Lepisosteus oculatus: one gene and its partners. The protein of the gene in region 4 interacts with the protein of the main gene of each other region in a pairwise test. Links are inferred from orthologs where the notes say so. Each region holds a gene or a part of one and is shown on either strand. Other genes may lie near its edges. The genes, in order: kif9, kinesin-1 heavy chain, zbtb48 and zbtb8a.

Region 1 (6,858 bases), on a different chromosome or scaffold from region 4:
GTGAATCTTGTATTTCAAACTGCAGCCAAGGACTTTATAAAGATCCTAGATACAGTACCCTCCAAGGACACTGAAACTTGTACTTTTTTTATTCATCGGTGAGCTGGCTTTACAGAGGATGCCATATCTCTCTCAACAGTGTCAGCCACCTGTATACACTGTATGAACTGTGATTCCAGAAGGCATTTCAACCTTGTTTAATCCAGAAAAATTTAAACCAAAAATAAATGGTATAAACGAAACATTCTTGTATTGTAATTCCTTTTATTAGAGGGCTCAGCATGGGCGTAGATGACTTGAATCTCGGGGTCTGTTTTCTTTTTGCATATTCCCACAGCCAGAAAATGCCTTTGTTTTTTTTTAAGTGAGAAAGGTATCAGTGATTTCAGATATTAGGTTGAGGTCCGTTAAGTTCAACAGGCGTAATTTAGGTACCGTATTTTCTCATCTGCCATATCACATACCAGGGTTCTTATCTGATTGACTGGAACTGATATAAGTCCATATAGTTAACATAGGCTGTGCTGGAGTAAAAGACTTGAAGAGAATGGACCTGCCGCAGCTCCGCAATGGAAGGTAGGCCCTGCAAGCAAATAGTTTTTGTTGTTTTTTTTACCATATATTCCAATAAACATACTTAAATGATAATTTAAAATTAACACACAAAGCATGGATAGAAGGAACTTGTGAAATAGAAATCCCTCTCATGATTGTTACTGTATCACTGGCTGCAGAGATTCTAGGAGAAGGGACATTAGGTTGCTGAGTAGTATTAGAAAAGGCTTAAGTGCAGCAGCCTGATGGTCAGTAGTTAGTTGTGAATGTAGACCAAACTTTGTGAGAAAGAGGATTGCTTCTGCCTGGTCTTTAAGAAGCAGGAGCCAAGGCCACTGACATATCCAGTGTCCATTTACAAACATAATAACACAAAAGTGCATTTAGCTTGGATAAGATAGCAAAGGCTCTCTCCAACTTAAAGAGCTCAGGTTAATTGGAGCACTGCGGTTTCAGCACATCGCTGCTCTTGCTGTAGTAATCGGGATAAACAGAGAATGCTAACACAGACGTCAGGCGACGCAAGTCGCTTCTATCTGGACGCCTGGTAACCTGTGAAGCACCCTAAGAGGTAAACATGACATTACAAAACACTTTCACTCACTGCAAGGCCCCTGCAAGGCTATCGCCCGTGCAGCTTCAGTGCTCTTTACAGAGGGTGGATCACAGTACACCTCTAACAACTGTCATGGCGGAGGCTAGGCTCGGTCCTGCAGGCCTGCTAACTAGTGCAAGAAAGAATTGTCAAGTATTACCCACCCCCCCCACAACACTTCACACCATACTGTAGTTTACTGTGTCTCTACAGTGCTCAGCTGCACAAGACTTGCGGGGAGGGAACACACAGGGCCTTGTGCTGCCAGGTGTAGGGTATGATCCCCTCTTCACCACCAGTCACTGACCTGTTGTTCAAGCCCACTAAAGGTGCTTCACGTCTTTTAACAATGATGAACTAAAAATATGGTGCAGAATTTAATGACAGAAATAAAATATTTCCACTGACAAAGACACAGCTATATCAAAATCTGGGGAGATGTTTAAGTCCTACTAATACATTATTTTAAATTGCTGCCTTCAGTGTATTTCAATCCCACAACAAAAATATTTATAAAATTGATGGATAAACCTTAAGAGTTCCTTAATGGTTTTTATTTCCTATCACATGTTTACTGGATTTTATTTTACTTAATATATATTTAGATAATAGGAGTTATAACAGGAGCTACTTGTACAACTACAGTAGGATATTTTTAGACCTATGGGGATTTAACAGAATGCAGGTTCTGCTTTTTAAGATCGGCTGATTTTTGGGCTATCATTAATCTAATGAGTAAATGTCTTAGATACGCTTTTAATAAAATAAAATAACATAACAGTTGCATCTGAACAGTATTTCCTTCGTATCTCTTATCAATGTGCAACATTTGCCTTTACCTTTCTTACAGTTAGCTACCATCTGGCGCACAATGGCCATTTTTGGAGTTTAATACGATTTAAATAGTAATTTTCCATAATTATGAAAATTATGTTTAGAATGAAATAATATTAATGGAAATGGTGAAATATTCTAAATTTACTTTTTTATTACAGTCCCAACCCTAGTAGCGTAGCAAAACCTCAGGTCAATGAATGTTTAGGGCTGTTAGATACCAGCGCTTTTCGTTTCAGAGATATTCGTAATGTATTTAATTTCTCTATTTGTGTTCACAAAGAAACAAATCAATCAGACAGGAAAACAGTAACAATGCAGGACATATTTTCCGCTGTAACAGCTGTTTCCCGGTTGGCTTTAACCACCCCGGTTATATTTACATTTTGGGGATCTCTTCCGGGCTTTCGTCTACAATGACAACCAATTAATTTAGCCTGTGTCCAACCTGGAAAAGGGCATCTTAGTTTGGAACAAGGACGAAGAGCATCGGAGGCCCTTTTAAATCGAAGAATATAGGATAGAAACCCTCATCCACCCCAGCACCTCAACCAAGACAATACTCCCTCTTTAAAGGCAGTGGCAGCGAAAGGCACGGTGCCTCTCGGTGAACCTGCTGAACAACACGCGTCGGGTTGATTTGTACCTTGAGGGTGACGTCGCACAGTTTCCCCTGCCTCCGGATCTCTTCCATCACCGCGTAGCCCCGATTCGGAAGGTCGCTAACAGAGAAATGCATCAAATCATCTAGTTCCTCGAATATTAGATCTTCCATCTTCATTGAGAAAATAAAAACGACAGAAAAAAATCGGAAACGCGGATTGAGCCTGAGTAGCTGCCGTAGGGTTTAATATTACTGCTGTTGCGCGTCAGGGGTTGCGATATCATTGGGCAGTAGAGTTGAGACGGATTAAATGGTGGTTTGATTTGTCCTGGAGAGAATAATCTTAAAATTGGGATTAATTTTAGGGATTACATTGAACACCAGGAACCTAGATGGGCAATAAAACATAGTATATAAAAATCGAGTTTCCACACCAATTTAAAATACATTTAGAATGTTTATATGAAATCATTCAATTGGTTTTGTTATTAACGCTTACCATTCGAGTTGTCAAATTGTAATCAAAAATTTAAAAAGTTACCTTTTTCTGTTCGTCGCACTTCTGTACTTTGTCTTTTTCATTGCTTGAAAGAGTATGTGGTGGGCTTGTACTAATTTTTACACTTTGATAGATAACTCTACTAACAATTTATCTACATAATTTATGTATTTCATTTTTATGTGATTACAATACTATATTGTTTATAGTTATTATTTCATTTATAATAAAATGTTGATTTGGACAAATCAAGGCAATATCCAGTAAAAAATAATAGTATTCATAATCCTCTGTTTTTGGTGGAATGGTTTATTAGCATCCTATCACAAACTACAATAAACCTACAAAATAGAATACACAAGTGTTCTTACAATGAGGGGTACAGAAATCAGGCAAGTGTTAAAATTTACAGTCCTTTTGATAATTCTGTATATAATTCTGTATATAAAGAATATATAACTTCTGTATACATGCAGCACCTAATACACAAATATGGAATATGAAATAGCCGAATATAAATGTTAAAATATGAATAGACCATACTAAAGGCGTCGCTGGTCAGTTTAAAAGACTGATCCTTGTGGAACCTTGTAGACACACACATTACAAATATAATGTGAAATTGTATAATATATATTTATTTTTATATAATTCTCTGATATATGATACAATTATTGTATACATTACTTGCCGTAAAAGGACATGTCAATGATTTTCCGTACGGAAATTAGGTCTTCCGCACGCATCCGGGCACGGTTTCCATGGTGATGATGTAAACATTATGTCTTGGTGAATGAGACTGGAGGATCTGGGGCGTTTAGACACGAGACTATTTCCGAATTAGCTGATTAATAACACAGGTATGTGGGATGCTAGTAATCAAATCGTTTTTTTTTTTATAAGACGAAATGGCTTCTAATAAATTATAAATGTTATTTATCATTTTAACAATCCTGAACTGAAAATAAAATAGTTTCTGTTTCCACAACGCATAAATATTTTCAGCCTGAAATGATCCTGTACTTCTTCCTATAATGCTATTACATTTTATCGTCTGACAACAGACACAATCTGCACGTACTGTACTACAGTGTAATTTATTACACTACGACTGCTATGAAGTGGATTATTTATAATCACAAAGAACAGCCTAATCAAGTAAAATAGCAAAAACATCATTGTTGTGCTCAAACAATGACAGATGAATGCAACTTCAATATCGATTGGAACATTAGCAGCATTAGCTATATACTGTATCAGCTATAATGAATCAATAAAAAGCAAAACATTTGTAATTTCAGGATTACTCAGTCCTTGTATTAGAAACATTGAAGGTGTCCTGACTCACCACGTTGGCTAGTTAATTTGGGGTGAGTGGTAAACTGAGCTTGGCATTTCTGTGTTAGCGCAGTGTTTTATGAACTGAGCTGTGATGTAAAAGAAAAAGCATCTGACACAGTGAAACTCGGAAGCTCTTGTAACTCTTTCAAAAATAGAAATTAAATGATGAAGAACAGCAATAAAAAATTGTTGCACACACCTTTTGCAGATACACATCACTACATCATACATCACTATGGCAACCTCCAATGACCAAATTCGAAGCATGGACTGTGATGCTAATATACTGGATTGAACTCTGTTTTTAACAATGTTCTTCCCCTGATCTCCCAGCTGGACATGAGCTCCAGGGGCAGTGGGGTGACGGTATTTGTCCGCACCAGGCCGACTGCCAACTTTGCCCAGGACCTCATCCAGTATTTACCAGATGGCAAGGTATTCTGCTGTGATACATCATTTCAAGACTCATCACATTCACAATCAACATCATTTACTTGACACCATTAGCAGCAACAGAACAATAACTTTTTCAATAAAAAAGTTATTTTTCCTTTAGAGCTATTGAGAGATTGCATTTCTGTTTCTAACTGAGAATGATTGTTAAAGTCACACTTTTGTACAATACCAATGTATTGGGTACTACATATTAGAAATACAGTAAGCATATTTTTTAATACGTGCAGCCCCTAAAAAAATCTGGGTGAAACAAGTCAAAGGTGATCTCAAAAATTGCTGACTCAGTCTCACCGATGCTAAAGTAGCGGCTACTGACAAGCAAAGATGGAAGGGAATTATATGCGATACCCAGAGACCAGCAGCACTTACAACGACGTATTGGCTTCATGGGTGACCACTGCTATATGTGCGCTAGAGGATGATCAAGCCATGTCAAGTCACAGTAAGCATGGCTTGACACCATCCTCCTTTTAGGTTAGCTGACAGCATGTGGTTTTGTTACTTTAGATTAAACGTTACAGAAGGACTCTCTGGAGCAGTCAATATACAATATAGAGAAACAATATAGCGCCTATGTATCGATTTGTCCTTTGTTCCTTTCTGGTTATTTACCTCTTAACATCCTTTCTACACCTGTCATCTCCCCCCCCCATCCTTATTTCAGACTATTAACATTCACATGAGAAAGACAGGCCAGAAAGGGCTGGTGAATAACCAGCTGTCTGACTGGTCATTCCGTCTTGATGGTGTCCTCCATGACGTGTCCCAAGAGAATGTGTATGACATTGTAGCCAAAAGAGTGGTGTTGGGAGCACTGGACGGTTACAATGGTAAATTGAATTTTCAACATTAGTCTTGGAAGTCTTGATATTACTGGTATTTGATTTGCTATTGTTTTCTATGACTTGCATTGTGTATTTAGCATGCATCTCTATGCTTTTATTATGATGTCACTGTACGTTAATACACTAATACTGTACATGCTTTTACTAGAGTTTACTGTAATGGACTTTAATAAGGAGTTCATAATACCTGTGAGATTTTCTTCTTTAATTACCTAGAGCATCAGGCAATTTAAAAACTGTTCTTCTGGTTGTTTTTCATCAGCTCATAACTTAATGTTCTTCTTTTGGCTGTGAATCAGTGAATATTACCTCTTCTTTATGCTTATTTAAGAATGTATAAACTCTATGAACTTTTATTTACTTTTTGTATGTTAGTTGTTGTCTTCTTTGTGTTAATTGCTTAATTGCTAATTGTTAAATACTTGTTTTAAATAATTTAACCAAGTTAAGCATTACCCAAAAGTATAACTGCAGTTTATTTAAAATTATACATTTAAAACAAAATTTCTAATAATTTGTCTGAGGTATGTTTTCCCCTGGTTCATCACAATACTTTATTTAGTTAATATTCTTCTTCAGAGACTTTCATTCCTTGTCATTTATTGGGTGTGGTTTTTATGCTTCTTCTATTTCTTCTTATTTAACAGGTACAGTGATGTGTTTTGGACAGACAGGTGCTGGAAAGACACACACTATGACTGGAGCCACAGAGAGCTACAAACAGAGAGGAATCATTCCCAGAGCTCTGCAGGAGGTACAAAATACTGTGGTGATTACAGCAGTGGATGAGACGCTGGAATTCTTTGAGATGAAAGGCGCAATATGAAATCAAAAAGTTATTATTAAACTACACATGTGTGAGGTCAGGATTGTTTTCAGGACTTGCAGCATGCACCATCATCTATTCTATTTAATGGCCCAAGAGGTTGAAATTAGTTTTTTATGGTAGTAAACTCCGAATTCTGAAGATTTCAAACAACAAATTGGAATAATTTATCATCTACCATTATAAAGTCAATTTGTACAGTACACCACATTATCTTGTTGAATATTTGTAAATATACTAATGGAGAAAAGAAACGCAACAACTCCCCCTCCACGCTCAGGCCCTCCTGTCTGCATGGAACAG
Region 2 (7,942 bases), on a different chromosome or scaffold from region 4:
AGCGTACTGGTGCAGTATGGCTGCTGTCACATCATACACGTGGTAGTGGAGGGCAATCCCCATTACCTGTAAAGCACTTTGAGAGGATTGTCTAGAAAAGTGCTATATAAGTGTAAGCAATTATTCTTCTTATTAATTATTACTATTTTCAAATAATCCAAAGGAATGTCTTGTCCAGGGTGACCAGCCTCTCATGAGAACATATAGTATTTAATTTTTCATTACATTTGCAAATGACAGGAGGCCAATCAGCCCAAGGACCTTGTTTTGTAGACAGCAGCTGATTGGTCCTAAGACCTCATCCATCCGTTCCTTAAAAGAAATCATGGCATCACCTCCAGCTACTTGGCTGAGCCCCACAACCCTCTACATAAAGAAGTGACTCCCTTTCTCAATTTAAATGCACTTCACTCTAGAAAACATCACCGTCTACTACTATTTTTAAGGAAATAAAAACATTAAACTGTTGCTAAGTTGTCTCTTAAATCGAAGAACCATTTTTTAAATCATGTCATGCTGTCATGCCATGATTTTCAGGCAATAGCAACGTTCAGAGTGAAAGGCTGTCTCATTTTCCATAATCACTTTATATTCTATGAACAGTAGCTAAGAGCTAAGTGTTTTTTCCCATGTTCATGTGGGTTTCCTCTGGGTGCTCCAGTTTCCACAGTCCAAGGACAAACATGTAGATTAATTGGCTTCAGGAAAAATTGGCCTTAGATGAGTTTGCAAATAAATGTGTGTGCCTTGCGCCTATTACCTGTCGAAATAAGCTCTGGATCCCTGCAACTCTGAATTCTCATTTTAAATGCACTTTAGTTTCCCTGGCTCATGTTTACTGTTGATATCCGTTACAAGACAGAAGAAGTTCAGCGTACACATGAAACCTGTTTTATTTCACCATATCATTATTTCGTTTTTGTTTGAACCATCCTCGGTCCATGTAGGGCTGTCCTCTGTCCTCTGTCCTCTGTCATCCTCCTGTTCAAATAGTGTGAATGAAAACATCGCTGGAGGGATACCCTGCCCGTCCTACCCATCTTCTGAAAACATCACAGCAAAATCACTGCTCTAAAAATAAGCAAACACTGAGATAGCTGGCTATGACACTGACTGACACTGAGATTACATCTGAATGCCATCAGTATGAAAAAAGTATGAAACTCCTTTTTTGTGCAACTCCCATACATTCATATAGCAGTGATTTCAGTCCTGTGCTGGACTGGACTGTGTGTGTGCCCTGTGTTGGACTGGACAGTGTGTGTGCCCTGTGCTGGACTGGACTGTGTGTGTGCTCTGTGTTGGACTGGACAGTGTGTGTGCCCTTTGCTGGACTGGACTGTGTGTGTGTGCTGTGCTGGACTGGACTGTGTGTGTGCCTTGTGCTGGATTGGACTGTGTGTGTCCCCTGTGTTGCACAGAACTGTGTATGTGTGCTGTGCTGGACTGGACTGTGTGTGTGCCCTGTGTTGCACAGAACTGTGTATGTGTGCTGTGCTGGACTGGACTGTGTGTGTGCTCCGTGTTGGACTGGACAGTGTGAGTGCGGTGTGCTGGACTGGACCATTCGTGCTCTGTGCTGGACTGGACAGCGTGTACATTGTGCTGGACTGGACAGAATCTTGTGAGGTTGTTTATATCTTTCCAACTACATAAATCACTGAGGAACGATCTTTACCTGTTATAACATGTATGAAGTGATATAATTTCTAAATTGTATAGAAATGCTTTATATTCAATTTTTTTTTGCTCATTACATTAAAATACAGTAGTATGTAATCCTCTGTAACAAAATCCTTTGTATCCCATTAAAAACCTTGAAAGAGATGGGCCTGCTGGATTTTGCATTTTGCCATTTTAAATGATCTAATATTTTCATTCTTCTCTATATCCACATCCTTCTACATACCTTAATCTTAAAAAATCAAATGTGACAATCTGAAGTGTAATTAATGTCACGTAGCTGATAAAGCTTTGAGTATTGTAACACTTCGGGGTTCACATGGGCGCCCTCACTGCTGCCACATCAGGTCAGCCCCCCACCATCAGGGACTTGAACCCAAGCCTCCAGTGTCACTCAACAGGGACCCAGCCTCTTGAGCCAAAGGGAGATCTCCCTTCAGCCCAGCGGCTGCAGTCCCTGCTATACACAGGGAAGGGTGGTGACGTCACTGCGCTGGTAAGCCGGCTCTCACAAGCAATGGAGGCCGTATGCGTTACAATATAAACTATTTGTTGTTATCTAATGTTGGATGTTATCTTTTGTTGGATGGTAGCTTCTTGCTGAAAAAGGCCAGCAGCAGTGTGGAGGCTCAGTCATGCGTTGTGTATTTCTGTGCGTACAGTAAAAGGTGTAGTGAGCTGAAACTGCTCAAACTTCATCTTTGGCAGAGATAATAGATCGTTGTTTCCCTGGGGACAGGGATTTGAATCCTGAATACCAACTCTTGTGATTTGCATTAGCATTCCTGCATCTTGGCATCTGTTCTGTGAGCACATGGCTGGGATATTTTTATGCAGTCCAGTGAAGATGCTTCTCTGCACCAACTGGCCATATACTGTCTCGAAGAGAGAACTGCTAAACATATTTTAATGGGGAAAAAATCCAAGAAGTTCACTATGTGCTTCATTTCAAAATATTCTAAAGCCTTTAATTTATAATTCAGTCATCTGCTCCTATTTAACTTTATTGTCATTGATATACAACTACTCACAAGAGAACCCAACTTTAGGAGTACATACATAGGACAAGAGGTATTTTTAACAATTGGAAACAGGATCTTTCCCTCTCCGGAATATTTTTTGACACTTATTAAAGAATCACAAGGAACTAAATGTTTAGTAAAAATAATTATATTTATATAACATGAGGATCATATTGAGTGATGACATCTGAGCTTTAATGTTGTAAATATGAATGAATTCAAACAGGAGATCTCTTATAAATCAAATCCAAATCTTGGTCAATTTCATTTTCATATTTCCATATAATCTATTTCTTTTTCATTGGTGTGTCATACTTACATTTAGGATATATTTACTGATGATTCAATCTGTTAAAAGAACTATTTATCTTATCATGTGAAGCACTTGTTTTATTTCATTTTACGTCTTTCAGACACATTACGTATTTTTAACTTATGCTTATTCAAAAACATTTCAGATGTTTCAGCAGCTAACATCTTATTTTCTTAGAACACCTAGCACACTTCGTGCTACTGTATGTGCCTTTTGGTTTCTAGAGGTCCAACTAGAGAAACACAAGCAAAGATTATCATCAGAAAACCTTCAATGCCAGTTAAGAGCAGAAGGACATTAAAAATATTACAAATGGACATGTGGTCCAACAATGTTTAGTTATCCTAGTTTTATGTGCGCAAGAATCCCATAATCCCAATAAAAAATAAAAGAAAGAAATAAAAACAAACAATAACATACAAGATCATACAGATAGGTCAATTGGACATAGGCCCTAGTAAACACTTGAGTTTTAGGTTTGGATTTGAAGAACTTCAATAACACTGAAGCAGCCACCGAAGAAACTAAGAAATTCAGTGCTGGGTATAGTGAGCAAAAGACCAGCCTCAACTGAATAGAGCCTACGAGAGGGAGTGTAAACATGGAGGAGCTGAGAAATGTATGAAGAAGCCAGATTATTTAAACCTTTAAAGTCAGTAACAAGCTCTTATATTGAATATGTAATTGTATAGGCAACTGTAGAGAATGATATGCTGCCAACAGAAGAGTGTTAGGGGTACTTTCTAGCAAATTATCAGGTAATGCACTTTATAATTGTAAAACTCTACATTTTAACCACATACCCTTTGTAAACCTATTTTCTTCCATCACACTACCTAAGAAAGAGAAGAGATAAACCAAACTCAAAGATATTTCTCACAGATTGCTAGTTCCAGTTCAGTACCAACAAAAGGTATTTGAAACATACTGTACTTTCCTGAATATTATACTTAATCTGTTGCATTTTGGGGGTATTTGTGCCAACCTGAAAAGCATCTAAATCGTCTTGTATTTCTTTTGCCTTACGGAACTACTGTTGTGTCTCCATTGAGCTTTGTGAGGTTTGCAAAACTCACAAGTTTACTGATTGTAGCAGTCTCTTGCTAGGAATTTAGACGAATAGCGGTTGTATCATAGCGGATTCCAGTGACAACGATGCACAATAGTAAATTAACGACACCGAGCGCTTAATGAATTGCCTTCAGTAAGCAGCCAGACGCACTACATGTGCGTGAGTTGCGGCAACAACTTGAAGCAGGAACTCGCCTGTTGGTGTTGAGCGCACAGGCACTGGGATTAAAAATTGGTGCCAAGACAGAAAAGGAGAGGGCGGGGGACTGGCGCTTAAAAAAGCACGTGCCATCACTGTCCTTGGTTTTACATTTTAGGAATCAACGGCTGCGGTTCAATTATCCTAACCATATGCTCAAGTGACATCATTGTCTCTGCTTCTGTCTGACCAGCTGTTCAACCCCGGAACCTCCCTCTGTGAACCCGTAGGCTGCGAATGGGGACACACGAAGTCGGACGTAGGTGGGGCATCTCGTACTTGTGGTGCAAAAAAAAGCACCTGCATCATTCTTGCACTTTTTATGAAGCTGTCTGAAGTATGCAAAAAAAGAATACCCCCTGTCAATATGTATACACGATAAATGCGCGAGTTGAAAAAAAATATTTATAATGCAAAAGAAGAAATCAATATGTTTGCGTTTCATTTGCTTATGTACGTCCGGTAGGAAAATTCGGTTCTCTGGCAACACAGGTATGACTTGGCGGCGCTGCCCTCAAATCCGTAACCGCCAATCTAGCTGTAAGCCCTGGGCTGGGCCGGTCTATCCGTCTCCGGTTGGGGAGGGTGTTGATAATATCGGAGTTATCTGCAGAGGTGACGTCACCAGCCGCCCGAGAGCAGCAGACAGAAGGAGAGAGAGAGAGATCTGCCGGTGTCATGGCTGCCATATTGGAGAGGAAGTGATTCCTATCCGCCTAAGAAAAGGGGGCATTTATTACCGAGAAACCGACTGGGGGCATCGTTTCTTCGGCACTCGGTGAAGGGTTTAGGGGTGCGGCCTCCGGTTTTCTACCCTTGGGCCGTCCCGGCAGCAGGATCTGATTGTTATTATTGTCAGTTTCATCCCAGAAAGATTGGAAGATGGCGGACCCGGCGGAGTGCACCATAAAAGTGATGTGCCGATTCAGGCCGCTGAACAATTCCGAAGTGATGAGAGGGGACAAATACATCCCCAAATTTCAAGGGGAGGACAACGTTGTTATTGGGGTAAGTTGGGAGCAGAAAAGAATTTTCTTTTCTGCGATCAGGGTGGCATCGGAAGAGGCTGATGTTTTAATACAATGAGGGTTAAAAGCCAAGGGCAGTGTCTGTGCTGTCCACCCACAGATTGACACATGAGCAGCAGCCGACTGAAACTTTAGCTAATAACTGCGGCTTCATTAAAATGCATACTTACTTTTGAATTGTTTTATGCACGGAGACCCTTAACGCTTCGTTTAATCGTCTTTTGAATTCTGATATTTTTTTTCCTTGGCCACTGTTGAAGTGCGCTAGACGCCAGTTATTTGAAAATAAACGATGTAGCGGCCCGATCTCCTAAAGGGAATCGTGCTTCGTTGTGTTTTGAGGCCGGTGGCAGATCGCTGGAAGGGCTGGGTCAGACAATAAGACTGGCCTAATCGTGCCCTTTTCCACGGCGCACACAACAAAGCCAGAAGTGTTGTCCACAGCTGTAACTACGTGGCCGGCACTAGGCATTTCCCAAACCTAAAAGCGTGAACTGCTTTTGCATCGTCTCTATTGGTGTATTCGGCGTCAAAGTGTTCTGTTTCGGCAATGCGGGGGTTTCAGTTGGTTGAAGCTGCTGGACCCGGAGGCCTTCACTCGCGTCGGCCCCTCTCTGGCGTCTCAAAACAAAGCGGTATCTTTTGGGGGAGCGAGAGCAGGGATTTGACAAGCGGCGCTCAGTTGTTATTGCCTGCGTGGATATCCTACGTCTGGGTCTTGGACACAATAGGTGTGCCCGATGGATTAGGCCAATTCGGTCGGGGGGCCCTTTTATTAGGGCATAAAATTCTCCCCCACAGCCAAATAATACAGTGCTCGGGGGGGTTAGAAAATGTTTTCCAGACTGTTCGTCTCCGTGGATGCACGAATGAATGAAGTCACCAGTGAACGCATCAGCTGCTGCTTGGCTAACGCCTAAATTCCACGTTGCCCTTTGCACTCATCGCACCACATCTCCCAAGTGAACTCGGAAAAAGTACTGGGGAGGGAGTCTTTGAACCCGTAAGACTGGAGAGAGTGCGGTCGCGCTGTCACTTGACAGGTGTCAGGCTGGCGTGCGCCGGCCGAGGGGCTCCTGTTTGTTGTGCGGTGGGTGAGGGGGCCCGTGAAAGACAATGGCGCCCCACTGAGCTACCGCAGCTGAGAGCACGAATTCGCCAACGACCGCTACAGATTTGAAGCACAGTCATTCTTGAAGTGCAGGCGCCGATCTTGAAATCGAAAGTTTTTTTTTTTTGCTGCTTTGTGTGCAGAAAAACTTGGCCCCTGCGAAGCGTGTCCTGAAATAGCTGCCCTGCTCAAAGATTTTTCAGTATCCCGGCATCAGCGGAATTCACATGGGGTGATTTTTTTGTCTTCCCAATTACATGGTGCTGACGATCACTGATAACAAGTCCAGCCTTTTGAGGCAACATTCATCAAAATACCAGTTCCTCAGATGTCACGGAGTGATATTCGTGCCTGCTTGCAATTTGTCTTTTTGAAAAACATTCTGCAAAGGCACACATAGGACATGGGCAGTACAGATTGGTCAAATGTAACTGCTGAAGTTATTCATAATATCCATTTGTAAAATACAATAGAGCTCTTTCCACATTCCTCATTGTCCTCTCTGATTTAGCTTTATCACTCTGTGGGACTTCACAGGGATAGAATTGTGGTTTCTGTAGTACACACTGCCTAATGAGTCTTTTGTCAGGACGTGTAACTCAGTATCATGAATATGCACTAGGAAATGTATTTGATCTGTCTTGTGACCTTTTGTAAAGAGGCTCTTGCTCAAAGAGTCAATATTTGTTTGGAAGAAAATAAAGCTTATGAAGAACTACAAGTAGGCACATACAGTATAGAGCTAGACAGTCGTTTTAAGTCAGGGGAACCATCCTGACCTTTGTAGAAAAGCAGCCAGCTTGCTACCCCGAAGGATCTTGTTAATTGAGAATGCATACATGCTCATAATATGGTCTGTGTATTATTTGCTGGCTACTGGATATGCATCTTATTTCTCTGAAAAATTTGGAATTTGGGTTGAAAAGAGCAAGAACGTTTTCCCTTCTCCAGGCTAAAATTCTGTTCTATAACAAGGTTGATTATTGTGGAAGAAAATACACTTCAGCTTTTAAAGCTATCCGTTTTACTGTATGGGGGGATTAAGAATGTTAGAAGGGTCATATAAAACAGGAAGGAAAGTCCACTGGGCCTGTCATTCACTTAGTAGTAGTAGCTGATCCCAAAATTGTGCATCTGCTTGAAGTATACTTGCTTAAGCAGTGGAGTGCATGGTGGTATTTTGGTTAGCAATGCTGCCTCGTATACAGTATTCCAGGTTTCTATGGCTACATTATATGTATAATCAACATTTTTGCTTATGGGGTACGCCTTCATCGTCCAGTCTGTGGTTCGAATGTCAAGTTGTTGAGAAGCTTAGGGAAGCACATACAAAGATCAAGGCCCTTCACAAACAGCACAGTCAATACCGTTGTCTAAACTAAAGGAATGTATGAACTGTTGCACTCTAACCATTGTAACGTTTTAGCATATAACACTGTTTGGACTATAGTCCAATATTCTGTATCAACAAAGTTATAAATGTTAAGTGTTTTACTTAAGATGCAGTGCCATTCC
Region 3 (7,312 bases), on a different chromosome or scaffold from region 4:
AATGGCTTCAAAACACAGTGATTCAACCGCTAAATGAAAGAAACCCTCGCGATTCGCGGTTTTGAGGCTCTGCGGTGCACCAACCCCCACCTCTCTTCCCGCACAGCATGCTGGCTCTTTGCTACTGCACGCTCGAGAAACCTTCACGTTCAGAATCGGGCAGCATTTCAGCGATACTCCAGGGCCTCAATCAGGGCACCTGAACGAGAAGTAAATAATAGTGCCACACATGCGAGAGAGGCAGGAGAGGAGAGGGAATGAAAACCCGTGACTTTAAGCAAGAAAGCCGCATTATCGGATAAGCCTGCAGAGGACAGATCCGGTACCTGCAATGTGCAGCAATAACTCTACTGCATCCACCGTGTGACATGAAGAGAAAAAAGAGAAGACATAGGGGATAGAACATAAACTGTAAGGCCTGTGAAAGGCATTTTGTTTATTTTACATACTACGTGTTAACAGCATTATTACGCTGCTAGTTTTAATGCGTCTCATTTGCTGCCGCTGGCAAATCGGTGTTTATTGGTAAAGTAGAATATTGGCCTGAACCTCTAGAATCTCCAGTATCCCTCAGTTATGATGGGGGGGGGTCTCCCCACAACACAGACTGTAGACACAGGGTAAAAGAGGGTGAGGCAGTGGACCTGGGATTCCTGAATTTTACAGGCCAGATCCCCGCTGCTTGTAAAATCACACAGAGAAGTGCCAACTCCCAGGAACGTGAAAAGCACGTCTGCGTGGGATGGGCCCGTGCTGCTGGAGCTGACCTGCACGGCAATGCGAGAGATGGGAGCTCCTACAGTCCGTTCTTCACTGCCCCCCCACCCGGAAACGCACAGCTGCAGGGCGGCACGGCGACTGGCACGTCATCCGAAACAGCTGTACCGAACATGTTGTACCGGGAAGGCAGAAGTGTTGTTCCCCTCACCGAAGTGTCCGTCCATCCGTTCTCTAACCTCTCTATCCAATACAGGATCACTGGGGGAGCTGGAGCCTACCCCAGCAAGCAAAGGGGTGCAAGTCTATGAATGAATCTATGAATTGGCTTCATCACTCTGCTCTCCTCCCCACTGAGAGCTGGTATGTGGGGAGCGTTCTGGCGCACTATGGCTGCCGTCGCATCATCCAGGTAGATGCTGCACACTGGTGGTGGTGGAGGGGATCCCCATTACCTGTAAAGCGCTTTGAGTGTCCAGAAAAGCGCTATATAAGTGTAAGTGTAAGTAAGTAAGTCGGGGTACATCCTGGAGGGGGTGCCAATCTATCACAGGGCACACCCAGCCATGCTCATGCTCACACCAGGGCCAGCTTTCCCTGAAGCCAATAAACCTGCCTAGCGTGTCTGTGGACTGTGGGAGGACACCGGAGCACCTGGAGGAAACCCACTCAAACACGGGGAGAACATACAAACTCCACGCAGACAGCACCCCGGGGACTGAACCCAGGGCGCACACAAACACACACACCTTTTGCGTGTGCAATTTTCCCAGAAGTCAGTTAACCCGCCTGGACAGTTCAAGGGTTCCTGTTTGATTCCAGCTCCTGTCCCTGTTTGTGTGGTGTCTGCATGTTGTCCCAGGCTGTGGCTGGGGAACTGGAGAGGACGTTTTAATTGCTTACTCTAATTACGGGGTTGTACAGAACCAAAATTAAGACTGTATAGAAACAAAATCAATGGTCCAAATGCTTCCTTTCATTTGTCTCCTAATCTGAAGTCAATGAAATCTGGTCTTTTTTGTTTTTAAAGATTGTATGCCCCAAGGAATGTGATAGCTAACTGTTAAATACGTGTTTAAATGCTACGGTCTGACTGTCACTAATACTTCAAACGTCTTTTGTTTTTGCAAGAAGCTAAAAAAAAACAATAATTATCAAAAACAAACTAAAAAAGCTGCATAATTCGTTGAGGTTAATATAAAGGTCCTTGCGCATGTTATGCATTTGGATTTAATTTCTGGATTCTTGATGCCACTGAAGACCACTGGAGCAGATAAATTCCCTTGAAGGAAAATAAACTGGAAGAACGTGATAACTGTATGATCGATTTCAAAATCTCGCATTATTCATGCAGAGGCTATGGTAAGTCTTTTGTCGGAAAGGCTCAGAGGATTTAGACGAGGAATAAACAGGACGCTACCGAACCTGTGTCTACACTTAAACACTGCTGTTTGTAAAAGCCGCTGTACAACATGTGATTCAATATGTACGCGTTGGCTCACCTATGCTTATGCCCACCACGACTACATAGCGATTTCTAAATAGAACCATTCACACTGCACAGAATATCACAAATAATCTCGCTTAAATAATCGCTGGTAACATAATATTGTTATATGTCTGATTTTGTCTTTATTTCCAGCGACGTTCATCAGCATACAAAACCCCTCTGGAATATGAATTACCGTTCACTCCCATCTGTATTGCCTCTTAGCCCATCTCCACCCACACAAATAATACGTATGGTAAAACGTACCTGTGTAAACCCCACAAAAAGAGTTATTCGCGCTTATCCACCGCTTAACAGCTTTTAGTCGTCGTATTTTTGTAGCCTACAGCCGCAAAATAAAAGCCGCACGTCTCCATGTGTAACAACAGCCGCCACAGCAACAAGCTTCCTTGGCCAACCAAGTCATTCCAGGAGTTACACTTTCACAATTCATTGCATCGGGAATAGGCATATTTGAGACTTCAATCGTCTAAGAACAGTTTTCATATTCACATACATGAAAATTAAAATAGTCCTGGAAAATAAATTTAATTTAATTTAAATGGACAGCGAAATTGTTGTATTAAGCATATAAATACATTTTCCTCCTTGAGAAAACATAAGCTATAAAATGATGGACAGCTACAAACCTTCCCGAAGTTTTTCCGGCCTTCGTTTCTGCGTTGGTGCCCTCTGTTGGTTAGGATATAGTACAGCGCTTCCGTTTTCGCAATATGTAAACGACAGTGTTGAGAGAACACAGTACTTTATTGATCTGATCATTTGAATTAATGAGATAATTTTAAAATTGTGGCTTTCTTATTCGCGCACAGGACAACCTGTGTCAATCAATTGCCAGTGTAACACGTGGGTAAGATAAAATAAACTCCTTCAGTCCTAATAGTTTTTCGCCCCGTTGGAAAATTACACTAAAGTATAGTGAACTCCAAATACATACACACCATTGTTTGAACTATTACAGAAATATATTGCGGTTTGTTGGGTGAAGCCTGCTCCTGTTTTTCATACAGCTCATATTTACCACACTGTAGCTTAATGTGGAGGTCCTCAGACCTACTGTTGGACCAGTAGGTGGCGCCCTTCCTTCTGGAGCATAACATCCCATTCGGTCATTCTATGGTGTGAACCCCCATCTCCCTGGCTGAATTACACTGTGGGGTGGCACAATACAGCCTTCCCACAGCTCCCCCTTAGTTCTAGTGAGGAAGCGGCTCCTCACTTTTCCACCTGAGTCACTGCTGCACTTCCTCACACCAGACTGCTTTCATTAAACCAGTTTGCAAACTACAAGCCGAGGTCACGCCCAGAGGAGCAAAGCACACCGTTTCCCTTCTGGTCCAGTGGCCATCTGACGATTTTTACACACCACTAAAGTTGAAGTAATGACACGTTTTTCTTAAAGTTGAGGGAAAGCTAGTGTGTTAGTGGGGCCAGCAGGGGGCGCTGCCCCTGCGGTCTATGTGGGTCCTAATGCCCCAGTATAGTGACGGGGACACTACGCTGTAAAAAGACGCCGTCCTTCAGATGGGGTGTAAAACTGAGGTCCTGACTCTCTAAAAATCCCAGGGCGTTTCTTGAAAAGATTAGGGGTGTAACCCCGACATCCTGTCCAAATTTCCCCCTGGCCTCTACCAATCATGGCCTCCTAATAATCCCCATCTCTGAACTGGCTTCATCACTCTGTTCTCCTCCCCAATGTTAGCAGGTGTGTGGGGAGCGCACTTGTGCACTATGGCTGCCATCGCATCATCCAGCTGGGGCTACACACTGGTGGTGGTGGAGGGGATCCCCATTACCTGTTAAGCACTTTGAGTGTCCAGAAAAGCGCTATATAAGTGTAAGCAATTATTATTATGTCTGTGCTCCCTCTAGATAGTCTCTGAGAATTCCCAAGGCTGGCCAGTTAAAAAAAAACAACCCTTACCCATATAAACCTTCACATATATATCAGATTCCGTTTTGAAAACTGGTTTTCTGTATAAAATAGACATGAAGAGAAACTGCGCCCCACACTGCAATTGACAATCTTCCTGGTGAAGTTTTAGCCACGCTAGTACGTCATATCCGGTCTCTTCTCCAACATGGCCTCCTGTAAGGTAGAAAAAAAGTATTTCGAGCCCATTTGTTTTTTCCCCTAAAAGTACCATTCGAAATAGCATGAGCCTGATCCCATTCTCTCAGCCTGAAACAAAGTACTTCCCCTCCATCCTCAAATAAGGTAAGAAGCACTTTCGTCGGCGGTTTCTGTCGTACCAATGGCACGTTAGGGACCGTCTTTAAAAACATGCCTTCCGTCGTAAACGTTGAGCTAAGGGTGAGTTGGTACTCATTCTGCTAAGAAGGAAACCGAAAAAGTGAGTCATGCTGTCATGGTTTTGCGTATTACAGCATTGGGACTTTCAGAGGAGATAAATCACCAACGTCTTGCTCCGCTCGTCAGAAATATTAAAATGCTGCTGACGCCTACCCCGGTGCAGTAGGGGTACAATGTGTTACTTTAATGTACTTTGTCTAACGTTTTGGAGAACAGTACTTTGATCCGCCCTGTCCCTTACTTGTCAAATGCAGTACCCCCTGTAGCTGTACAGTAAAAAGAAACGCAAACTTTCCCAGCCCCATGCGTCTCATAATGGACAGGGGCGTTTCGATGTTTTTAAACAAATCGAATTAAACTAATTAAAAGGGTTTGTTGACGATGTTGAAATCTCTTCACCACAGGTTCATGAACGGTATACAGTGATTCAAAAAGACCTAGAACACGTACTGGGTCAGAAACCCAGGCACCAGAGGTGACCTAAGCGAGTGCGTTTTACAGTTTTTATTGTCACACAATATTTCCCCCTCGAAAACCTGTTCCAGTACTGCGACCTTAACATGGCCTAACGATAACAAATTCCTATCGTGTTTCTGGAGCCTTAGACACGAGAGAAGTCTCCTCATCCATGCCCAGCTGAATACATTTAACAAGAAGGCGTTGTTCATGCACCCATGTGTAAGGCTAGGCTGTCATTCCATCATTTACGCCAATCACATGTATACCGTTAGTTACGCAGGTAAGATTAGGCAATTCCACGGGCTTTGAAGCTGTTGACAGGCCGTCCGTGTCTGCTCTGTGCTTAAAAGGCTCTGCGGCGGAAGATGGCAGCGCTGGAACACAGACATGCCCAGCTGGTGTTGTCCTCCCTGAACCAGCAGAGGGCGCTGGGTAGCTTCTGCGACGCCACGCTGAGCGCGGTGGATGGAGAGGTGTTCCGGGCCCACCGCAGCGTGCTGGCCTGCTTCAGCCAGCTCTTCCGTGACTCCTACTCTGCCACCCCCTTGGTGGAGGTCTCCCTGCCAGAGGAGTGCCCCTCCGAGGGCCTGGGGCTGCTCCTGGACTTCATCTACACCGGGGAGATGAAGCTCAACGCTGGCACCTTGGACAAAGTGCGGCAAGCTGCTCTCAGCCTGTCAGTGCCCCACGCCCTAGACCTTTGCCAGGAGTTCAGCCAGGGTGACCAGCGCCCGGCCAGCCCGCTAGAGAAGTCGCTGGCCAGGGACGGCGACAGCCAGGAGTCTCCCAGGGGGGACCCCGAGGCACAAGGGGGCCCGGGCCAGGCCGAGACGCGGGGGATGCAGCCCAGGCCCCGGCCGGCGCCCAGACCCAAATGCAAGGCCGCCAACAGCGCCCCGCGGCCGCCGGCCCCCGCAACCACCACGACCCGCTCGGGCCGCAGGGTCAAGGGCCCCAGCCGCCTGCTGAGGGACAGCCCCCCCCCTCCTCCTGCCCCTCCCCTCCCCCCGCCGGCCCCCCGCCGAGCGGAGCCGCTGGCGGCGCAGGGAGAGGGGCGGCGCGGGCCGGACACAGGCGAGCGGAGCAGCAGCCCCTCCGCGAAGGGCACAGAGGTACCAGGGTCGAAACCAGGGGGGTTTGCCGCGTAGCCACCAGGGGGTGTACAGGAGGGGGGCATCAGGCCTGGGTGGTGTGCTCGCTCTGTGGCTGGAAGGTTGCCGGTTCGTATCAGAGGAATCCTACTCCGTTGGGCCCCTGAGCGAGGCCCTCAACCCCAGCTGCTCCAGGGGCGCCGTATAAATGGCCGACCCTGCGCTCTGACCCCCAGCTTCTCTCCCTGTCTGTGTGTCTCAGGGAGAGCAAGCTGGGGTCTGCGAAAAGACACATTCCTAATGCAATAAAGTGTATAGGGCCAATAAAGTGATCTCTAATCAGGCCGGGCCCGAGCCCAGGGGCAGGGAGTGCTTGAATTGAAAAGGGTGGGGTGTTGAAGTTCGATATTGTCTGTAAAAAAATTAAGTCCTACAACTGAAGTATGTTTTTGTTCTGTTAATCCAAGAGGTTCCGTGCTGAAAAGAAAGGAGACGCGACGTTTCTGAATTAGGCTCCACAGCCGAAAAGTTGTGTCTCCTTTCTGCTCTTTCCGGCGTGGAATGAACCGGACGCAGCTCCCTGCCGGAAGTCCAATAATTCCCGCGCTCGCTCGAACACGAACCTGAGCTTTTAGTTAATAATAATTAATAATAATTGCTTACACTTCTATAGCTCTTTTCTGGACACTCCACTCAAAGCGCTTTAGAGGTAATGGGGATCCCCTCCACCACCACCAGTGTGCAGCCCCACCTGGATGATGCGACGGCAGCCATAGTGCACCAGAACGCTCCCCACACACCAGCTCTCAGTGGGGAGGAGAGCAGAGTAATGTAGCCAATTCATAGATTGTGGCTACGTTGTCTTTTCTTCCCCCGGTTCATGCAGATGAACAGCCGAGAAGCGGCTCTTTCCCCAGCCGGTCTCGTGGCGGGGTGCTTGACCGAGTTTCCTCTCGCGGCTGCAGGAGGGGAAGCCGCCGGAGCCCGCCCGCGAGGAAGACGAGGAAGAGGAGGAGGAGGAGGAGGGCGAGGGCGGGGGCCAGGAGGACACCGACGAAGACTACCTCCCTACCACCGCCACCCCCACTGCCGGCGCAGCGGGGCCCCGGGCCAAGCGCAGGGGCCGCGGGCGAGGGGGGGCGGTCAACAAGGAGAACGGCGAGGGGGCGGGGGCCGACGCCAAGAGGGGCTCCGTCCAGTGCCCCACCTGCCACAAGACCT
Region 4 (7,495 bases):
GAGAGGGCCCGACGGGAGGGAAGTACACGCCTTTGTTCCACGCCCCTCCCACCGATGATGACCGGCCCCACCCCTCCTCTCAGCCAGCCGGCAGCGAGTCCTCCCCTCTGCCCTACGACAACTACCACATGAAGCAGTTTCTGGAGGTGCTGCTGAGAGGGGGGTCCAACCCCAGGCGGGAGGAGCTGGTGCAGCACTTTGCCCAGAGCCTGGGAGGGGGTGTGGGTGTTGGCCGAGGGGCCCCAGAGGAAAGCCTGGGCCTGGGCACGCCTTCCATCATGGAGATCCACAGTGACTGGTACGGAGACGACACAGGTAAGAGCCCCCTGCTGTTAGGATGAAGCGACAGGGATTTTGGTCCCAAGATTTGATCTAACTGGACCGTTTCTATCAACTCTGTCTAGCATGACACGCAACCGTCTCTTATTACTGCCAGACATGTTGTGCTGCTAGGAAGTTCAAAGTTCTGCTAAATTCTGAAATTGCAAGCTCGGGACTCGGGTGTCAGGCTGTCCCCCACTGGAGCACTGTGGAGTAAGCTAACGTTACTGTGGCCACCAGCCACACCTCTACTCACCTGTCGGTCGGTACTGGTTGCTGTGTTTACACAATCAGGTAGCATGCTCCACCTGAGACGGGGGTGGTTGTAACTGCCCACAGGTGAAACAGGCTTCCTGTCTGATTGTGTAACCACAGCAACCGGAACTGACTGACAGGTAAGTAGAGGCGTGGCCGGCTGCCGCAGTAACCCTACCTTACTCCACTGTGCTGCAGCGGGGGAGAGCATGCCATCTCGTTGTCTAGTTCTGTCTGGTTTCAGAGACGGGATGGGGGTTATCTTTAGAACCTAGCTTGGGGCTGCGTGTGCAATCTGGGAATCGGAAGCACTCTCGTTTGGCAGGCCACCTCTTCAAGGACTGGGGTCATGTTGTTGAAGTGGGCCGGGCTCCTGTGGGTTTTGCAGGATACGGCCTCGTGGTTCCTGTGAAGCTGCACAAGTGCCCGTTCTGCCCCTACACCGCCAAGCAGAAGGGTATCCTGAAGAGGCACATCCGCTGCCACACGGGAGAGAGGCCGTACCCCTGCGAGACCTGCGGCAAGCGCTTCACACGCCAGGAGCACCTGCGCAGCCACGCGCTCAGTGTGAGTCCTCACACCTCTCCCCCAGGTCCGGAGCCCGAGCTCCTGGCGCCGCTAGTGTGTCTGTCGGAGGGCAAGTGATTGGGGATCAACACTTGTGAATGAGAAAATATTTAATTTTACCTGTTTGTTATGTCAAAGGTGATATTCTCATCATCATGGTTAAAATAAATAATGTGGAAGCTCAGTTTGATATTGTAGAAAACTGAAACAAGGTTTGCTTTCAGAAGGTTGCAGTTGATGTTTCTTTACTACTAGGTGGCGCTACGCGACAGGGTAGGATGTGATTGGTTTACCTGTCTGCAGGTGCACCGCTCAAACTGGCCCATCGTGTGCAAGGGCTGCCGGCGCACTTTCACGGGCGTGATCTCCCACGGCCTGAAGCGCTTCGGGCTCTGCGACGGCTGCACCTGCGTCACCACCACCCACGAGGACGCCGCCCCCATCAACCTCAGCAGCCAATCGGAGGGCCCCGAGCGCAGCGACGGCGACGGCGACTGGCCCATCTACATGGAGGAGGCCGAGGAGGGGGAGCCCGGGGGCGGGGAGGACCTGGACGACAAGCACGAGCTCCACAGGCAGCTGTCGGAGAGCGAGGGGCTGATGTAGCGAGGGGAGGACCGGCTCCCTCCGCCTCGCTCTCGCTGCGGGCCTGTCCCCGTGGGGAGTGGGCTGTGGCGAGACAGAGAGAAGGTCGGGGTGCTCGTGCGGCAGCGCGTTGCGATCCCAGATTGCTCCCGCTGTAAGGATTGGATCCACGGCTCCACACGCCTTGGTGAGGAATCAGGGCTGCTAGCGCGCGGGGGTGACTGGGCACTGAAGTGGCGCTCTTGGCCCCCAGAACGAGAGCAGCTGTGTGAAACAAAGGCCTGAGCTTCCCTCTCTCACTCCCGTTTCTTGTAGCTGCTAGGATGAGCTTGGAGAAGATGATAACTTCAGGGTTGCAGTCGAGGCCTCGTGCCTCTGACTGGAATCTGCGCTCCAGCAGAGGTTTTGCTCCTCCAACATCACGAAACGTCCACCCAGGAGAGGGAGCTGGAGCCTGTTCCAGCACGCAGAGGGCGCAAGGACACACCCTGGGCGGGATGCCAGCCCATCGAAGGGCACACTGACACACACACACACACACACACCAGGGCCAATTTTCTCAGATGCCAGTGAACTTCCCTACTGTGGGAGGGAACCCACACAGACATTGGGAGACCATACAAACCCCATCCACTCCACAGCATCCCTGGTCCAGTATTGAACCCAGGACCACTGGGCCGCCGTGTTGCCCCACATCACAAGACAGCTTCCATGAATGACCTGTTTGGGTGTTGAGTGAAAGTGGACAGCAGGGTGGTCTAAGGTGAGGTCCCGTCCTGTCCGCTCCGCTGCAGAGCTTTAATACAGCCAGCATTACTGTTCTACTGCTGATTAACGGTGAAATAATGCAGGGCGGGGATGGCTCTGCTGTGTTTGGGAGAAGGCGGGCAGGTCCTGTCCAGCTCTGTTTCCGTCGCTCCTCTGCAACTTCAAGCAGCTCGGCGAGTTCTGTCCCCTTTAACTCTCTGTGAAGCCCGGCCCTTCCTGCTGCCGTGTGCTGGGTAGGGCCGACTTGTGGACCATGCCCTTACTGTACGCTGCGGGTGTGCAGTGGGTACTGAACTTTCTCTTAACCTGCTCAGAGGATTTTGTGGGATTCTGTGTGCCGAAGTTAACTTGTGTAACCACGCGATGACGTCGCGAAAGCGTCTGCACCGGTAGAGAAAAATAAAGTGGAAACAAAAACGTGTTTTGTGAAATATTAAAATTACAGTGGACAAATGCCAAAGCTATCTTTTGTGTTGGTTTACTTATGAACATTGTCAAGACAGAGTAAAAGTGATAGTCGAAATATAGTTACAATAAGATTGTAGCCTTAACTGTGGAGAATGCTTGCCTTTAGTCTATACAATGTAAAACATTTACATTATTGAAGGTGTTACATTAACCTTAAGTAAACAACAAATATTTTGTATGGTACTTATTTATATTGTCTCGTTTTGCAAGCTATATATTTTGTATTACCGTTCTTTGTAAATACTTCCAGCGGCGTTGGAAGTGAGGTTCAGTGCTGTGTTTGTGAAATAAAATCTATTCCAGTGAGCTGTGAGTTATTCTTATGTTCACAATGCTTAGTGTAATGATTAACGCCACACTTCTGCCCCAACTGGATAGAATATGCTGAACTGTAAGGGTTAACCTTGCATTCACGTTTAAAAGTGTTACCGAGGCTGTGAGACTAATTTGCTTTTCCATATTAAAATCAGCGCTTATGGTGTTGGACGCTCTTTTTTGAACTGTTATTAAGATTAAACTACTGGCAGTCAAGACTGAACATTGGAGACGGATTTACATCGGAACCGAGGACTCCTGACCGCAGCATCAGGCGTTTAGACACCCGTGCTTCTTCCTCAGAGTGTCCCGGGAGAACGCCCGCTTGTGTTTTGTGTTACCGGGTGTACTGTGTGAGTACATCGCTTTGGATAAGGGCGTCAGATAATAATTACCTCGAACTTCGCACCCCCCGTGGCGCATCACTCTGCATTTTTGGACAAAGGCTTCAAAAACGCTTCGAAAGTGTGTTCTCAGCGTTTTGTCCAACTTCTGCCCAACGTCTCGCAGCCCCGCCTCTGTAAATTGGACTAAAAGCTAGGCTACAATCGCAGGCAAATCAGTCATGTCGGTTTTTTGAACTCGAAATCACTTTTTTTAACACCACTGAAGTGGACACCCTATAGCCACACAGTACGCCGCTTCTGTGATTTAGGGGTTACACGTACAGCGTACCTAAGTCATTGCACCCTTCTTGGTAAAGTGGAAGTATTTCATATCTACAGTATTAGACGATTTTACACTAGCATAAATTAAATTGTATGAGAGATCAAATCAAACTACCACTCTTAACTGCTCAGAAGACAATTTTAAACGTGAACAGCTTCTCGGAGTGCCGCATTGGTGTGCTTACATTTACCGGGGAATGCGATTTGACATTTTAACAATATAGCAAAGGTTATTTCTTTAAAACGCGGGACTATGCGATAAGTGACTTTAAAAAAAAAATGTGTCACGTGGCGGGCGACTTTTAAAACCCCTGCCCCCGTGCTGAAGTTTTGTTTCGAAGAGCGATTCATCTTGTCATATTTTTTAGAAAAATGACCATTGGTTGGTTTTGTAACTACAGGTGTTGGATAGCCTGCAACGACACGTTATGTGGCGTCGTTCACTCATACTCTCCCTTTAAGATCATTATATGTATTTATTAAGCACACAAAAATCCAGAAAAGAGAGAAACCCTGAACAGCGTCTAAACGCAGTGTGAAAGCCTTAGCTTTGGGGCTGCTACCATAGACCAAACGCACAACTTCAGCGTTTCTTCACCTACATCTCTTACTCGAGGTGTGCGGGTTAGATAACAATGAGCCTGGGGGGGTGAGGGCTTCCTGCCGGTGCAGGGAGGACTGAGGGGTTAACGTGCGCGCTGGGGCTTTAAGCTGCTCTCCGGCCCTCGGGCGCTGCGCTTCCACACCCACGTCAGCACGGCCTCCCTTTTGTCCGGCAACCGGGTTTTCGTCTTTAGGGCTGAGCAGCGACCGTATCGCCCTGCGCCGGAGACGAAGAGGAGAGACTCACTTTTTTTCCATTCTTTTATTTTCTCCTGCAACAAACACACACACACACAAATGGACATTCTTTCCGAAATGCGGACGAAAGGATCTTCACAGACACCCGGCGAGCCGGGGCAACCGTGAGTATCGCCGGAGAAAGCAGCGGGTATCGGGAAGTGAGGAGCGTGGGAGGCAGGGCGCAGGGACCGTAGGGCGTCAGCGGGTCCTGCGGATAATTGCAGCCCGTGAAGGCAGCGCCTCGCACCGCAGAGAACCAGCTCGCGTCTCCGCTGACCATGGTGCTGGGCTGCAGCTGCGCTGGGTCTTCGGCTGGCTGGGTGAAACGGGTGTCGAGACGGAGGACTCGGGAGAGCAGCGTCCACGGACGTGTATCCTCCTCGCCATTTCAGCCAACATATATATATATACGTATTTTTTCGCGTTCTTTTCGCGAAATCCCCGGTCTTGGTTATTTCATTGTTAGTTCTTCGGTGGGCGTCCTTTCTGTAAACCCCAAGGGCTGAGAGCGGAGATCTCGCAGTGGTAACAGCGAGCTCTGCGTGCGAGGCAAAATATCTGGCGGATAAAATGTGATTTTAACACAGTTTCACGACACACTGAGGTATATGCAGAGTGGAGGCTGAACGCACTTCACGATCAATAGTTATCGCTTCCCTTCGTGTTCAGTGTTTCGGTCTGGCAGGAGCCTTCGGGCGCCTCTGCCAAGCCACAGGGTGCTACTGCTGTGCCGTTTAGTTTTCTTTAAACAAAACAAACGTGCCCCTCACGTTCTGAAATCAGAACCCAAATATATCAAATGCGTTTTTTGTTGTTTTAAAGAACTTAAAATAGGAAAGGGGGGGGACCGGGTTTATAGCTGTAGGCTGTGTTCTTAAGAAAAGGGCACCTGGGAAATAAAGGGTATTTTATGCGCTTTTTATTTAAAAAAAAAAACTAAAATCCTGCAGATGCCTTTTTTCAGCTATGGCGCGATAATGAGAGCAGGCTTTCGTGTCGCTCCGTGCGCTGTACGGCAGGGCTGTGTCCGCAGCGCAGTGCCTCTGTCGGTCTCCCCCGGCGCCCGACGCCGTCAACCGGGTGTAGCTTTTCAATCCACTTCGAGAGAGCTCGCCTGTGAGCGGCGGGCAGCCCGGCCAATCGGCGTGCGGACAGGAGACTGGGAGGACGCGATTAACCGTGCGGCGAGACCCCCCGCCCCTCTTTCTTCCTTATTGAACATTTTCAAATTAAAAAAAAAAAAACGACCGAGCTGTTCAGGGCACCCGGAGACTGTATCTCACCGTCCTTTAATCTACAGGCATTTTATCCATTCGACGTCCTTCCATGCAGTACGTGGGCGATGTAGAAATGTCTGTAATGGAAAGGTTTCCTGCTGGTTAAACCAGCTGGAAAAAAGAATCCACTCACTGTAACGTGGTGTTGCGGACGGTAAATGTGGGTTTTTCGTCTATCAGCAGCATCACGACGTCATTGAGAGTATTTTACTGTGATCTTGGCCAAAAACTTCAAGGGGCGACAGGGCCCTCACAATTCTAAGGATGGCTTTCCTTCATCCAGCCTCGTTGGTGAGAGACCCTGTGCACCCCCAGGAAAAACAGTAGTAGTAAATCGGATATTTGTCAGACATGTGTCTTGAATTCTTTCTTTTTCTAGTCTTTGATACCCATCAAGGGCCAAGGATGGACAAAAAAAGACAGAAAACCCAGGAATGTGCTTTTAAATGGGGTGCCAAGGGTTCTTGCATGCCTCATAACAAGACATGTTGTTACCATGTTAACTTTTGAGGCAGGCGCATGCTGATGTCAGAGATACACATGAATTTATCCTGTCTTATTCTCCAACCCACTTGACCTGTCCCCAGCTCTGTCTCTCCTACCTAATTCACTCTCCTGTTCCGCACTCTTGTCGATGTCTCCTCACCCTGGGATGCTCTCTCTCTTCTCTAGGCACCCCTCCCGCGTCTCGGCGCTCAGCGCTGACATTTCCTCCAGTCATCAGAGCCGTCTGCTGCAGCAGCTGGATGAGCAGCGCAGGCAGGAACTCTTCTGTGACTGCAGCGTGCTGGTGGAGGGGCGGGTTTTCAAGGCGCACCGCAATGTGCTCTTCGCCAGCAGTGGCTACTTCCGCATGCTGTTGTCCCAGGGCGCCCAGGACTGCGGGCAGCCTGTCAGCGCCTCCTTCGAAGTCTTCAGCCAGGACACTTTCACCGTCATCCTCGACTTCATGTACTCGGGGAAGCTTGACCTCACTAGCACCAACGTCATCGAGGTCATGTCAGCAGCCAGCTACCTGCAGATGACCGACGTCATCGGCTACTGCAAGAGCTTCATCAAGTCCTCCCTGGACATCAGCGCCAAGGAGGAGGATGACCACTACCTGAGCCTGTCTGAGAACGCTTCAAGGTCTGGGGGTGTCAGAGAGCCGCAAGATTACTCCTCCAGCAATGCGGGGGCAATGCTGAAAAGCCCCAGCAGCTCTCAGCCTGCCTCCTGGCACATTTACAACAGCCCCGAAGTGGACTACCACAAGGAGACCAAGTCTGAGCCAGAGCCCGCCAAGCGCGGCTCATCCCCGTCAGAGCAGCCTTCTCGGCGAATGGGCCGCCGAGCCCTTCAGATCGCTGACCCCGAGCTACACGCCTCACCTGGAGGGTACCAGTTCAGTTTGGGGCCAGAGGGGGGCGCTGGGGAGACAGGGAAGAA

The links.
Region 1: the proteins of zbtb8a (region 4) and kif9 interact in binary tests that used the Homo sapiens proteins (3 or more experiments, as listed by UniProt). The two-hybrid records come from large-scale screens. The link is inferred for Lepisosteus oculatus from reciprocal best matches to the Homo sapiens genes ZBTB8A and KIF9.
Region 2: the proteins of zbtb8a (region 4) and kinesin-1 heavy chain interact in binary tests that used the Homo sapiens proteins (3 or more experiments, as listed by UniProt). The two-hybrid records come from large-scale screens. The link is inferred for Lepisosteus oculatus from reciprocal best matches to the Homo sapiens genes ZBTB8A and KIF5B.
Region 3: the proteins of zbtb8a (region 4) and zbtb48 interact in binary tests that used the Homo sapiens proteins (3 or more experiments, as listed by UniProt). The two-hybrid records come from large-scale screens. The link is inferred for Lepisosteus oculatus from reciprocal best matches to the Homo sapiens genes ZBTB8A and ZBTB48.

What each region holds. Positions count from the first base shown.
Region 1 is NC_090701.1:26,375,303-26,382,160, forward strand, and holds the start of kif9 (kinesin-like protein KIF9), read left to right. Parts: upstream 1-3,839; 5' UTR 3,840-3,947; intron 3,948-4,388; 5' UTR 4,389-4,457; intron 4,458-4,761; 5' UTR 4,762-4,767; coding exon 4,768-4,863; intron 4,864-5,548; coding exon 5,549-5,714; intron 5,715-6,376; coding exon 6,377-6,483; intron 6,484-6,858. Other genes in the region: klhl18 (kelch-like protein 18), read right to left, coding at 2,631-2,765. UniProt on the Homo sapiens protein: Essential for normal male fertility and for progressive motility of spermatozoa.
Region 2 is NC_090701.1:39,349,655-39,357,596, forward strand, and holds the start of kinesin-1 heavy chain, read left to right. Parts: upstream 1-4,931; 5' UTR 4,932-5,170; coding exon 5,171-5,296; intron 5,297-7,942. UniProt on the Homo sapiens protein: Microtubule-dependent motor required for normal distribution of mitochondria and lysosomes. Can induce formation of neurite-like membrane protrusions in non-neuronal cells in a ZFYVE27-dependent manner.
Region 3 is NC_090720.1:9,105,388-9,112,699, forward strand, and holds the start of zbtb48 (telomere zinc finger-associated protein), read left to right. Parts: upstream 1-4,297; 5' UTR 4,298-4,445; intron 4,446-5,350; 5' UTR 5,351-5,365; coding exon 5,366-6,112; intron 6,113-7,056; coding exon 7,057-7,312. UniProt on the Homo sapiens protein: Plays a critical role in transcriptional regulation and chromatin remodeling. Acts as a regulator of telomere length. Directly binds the telomeric double-stranded 5'-TTAGGG-3' repeat.
Region 4 is NC_090706.1:2,398,138-2,405,632, reverse strand, and holds the start of zbtb8a (zinc finger and BTB domain-containing protein 8A), read left to right. Parts: upstream 1-4,474; 5' UTR 4,475-4,847; coding exon 4,848-4,912; intron 4,913-6,739; coding exon 6,740-7,495. Other genes in the region: zbtb8b (zinc finger and BTB domain-containing protein 8B), read left to right, coding at 1-315, 965-1,143, 1,399-1,749. UniProt on the Homo sapiens protein: May be involved in transcriptional regulation.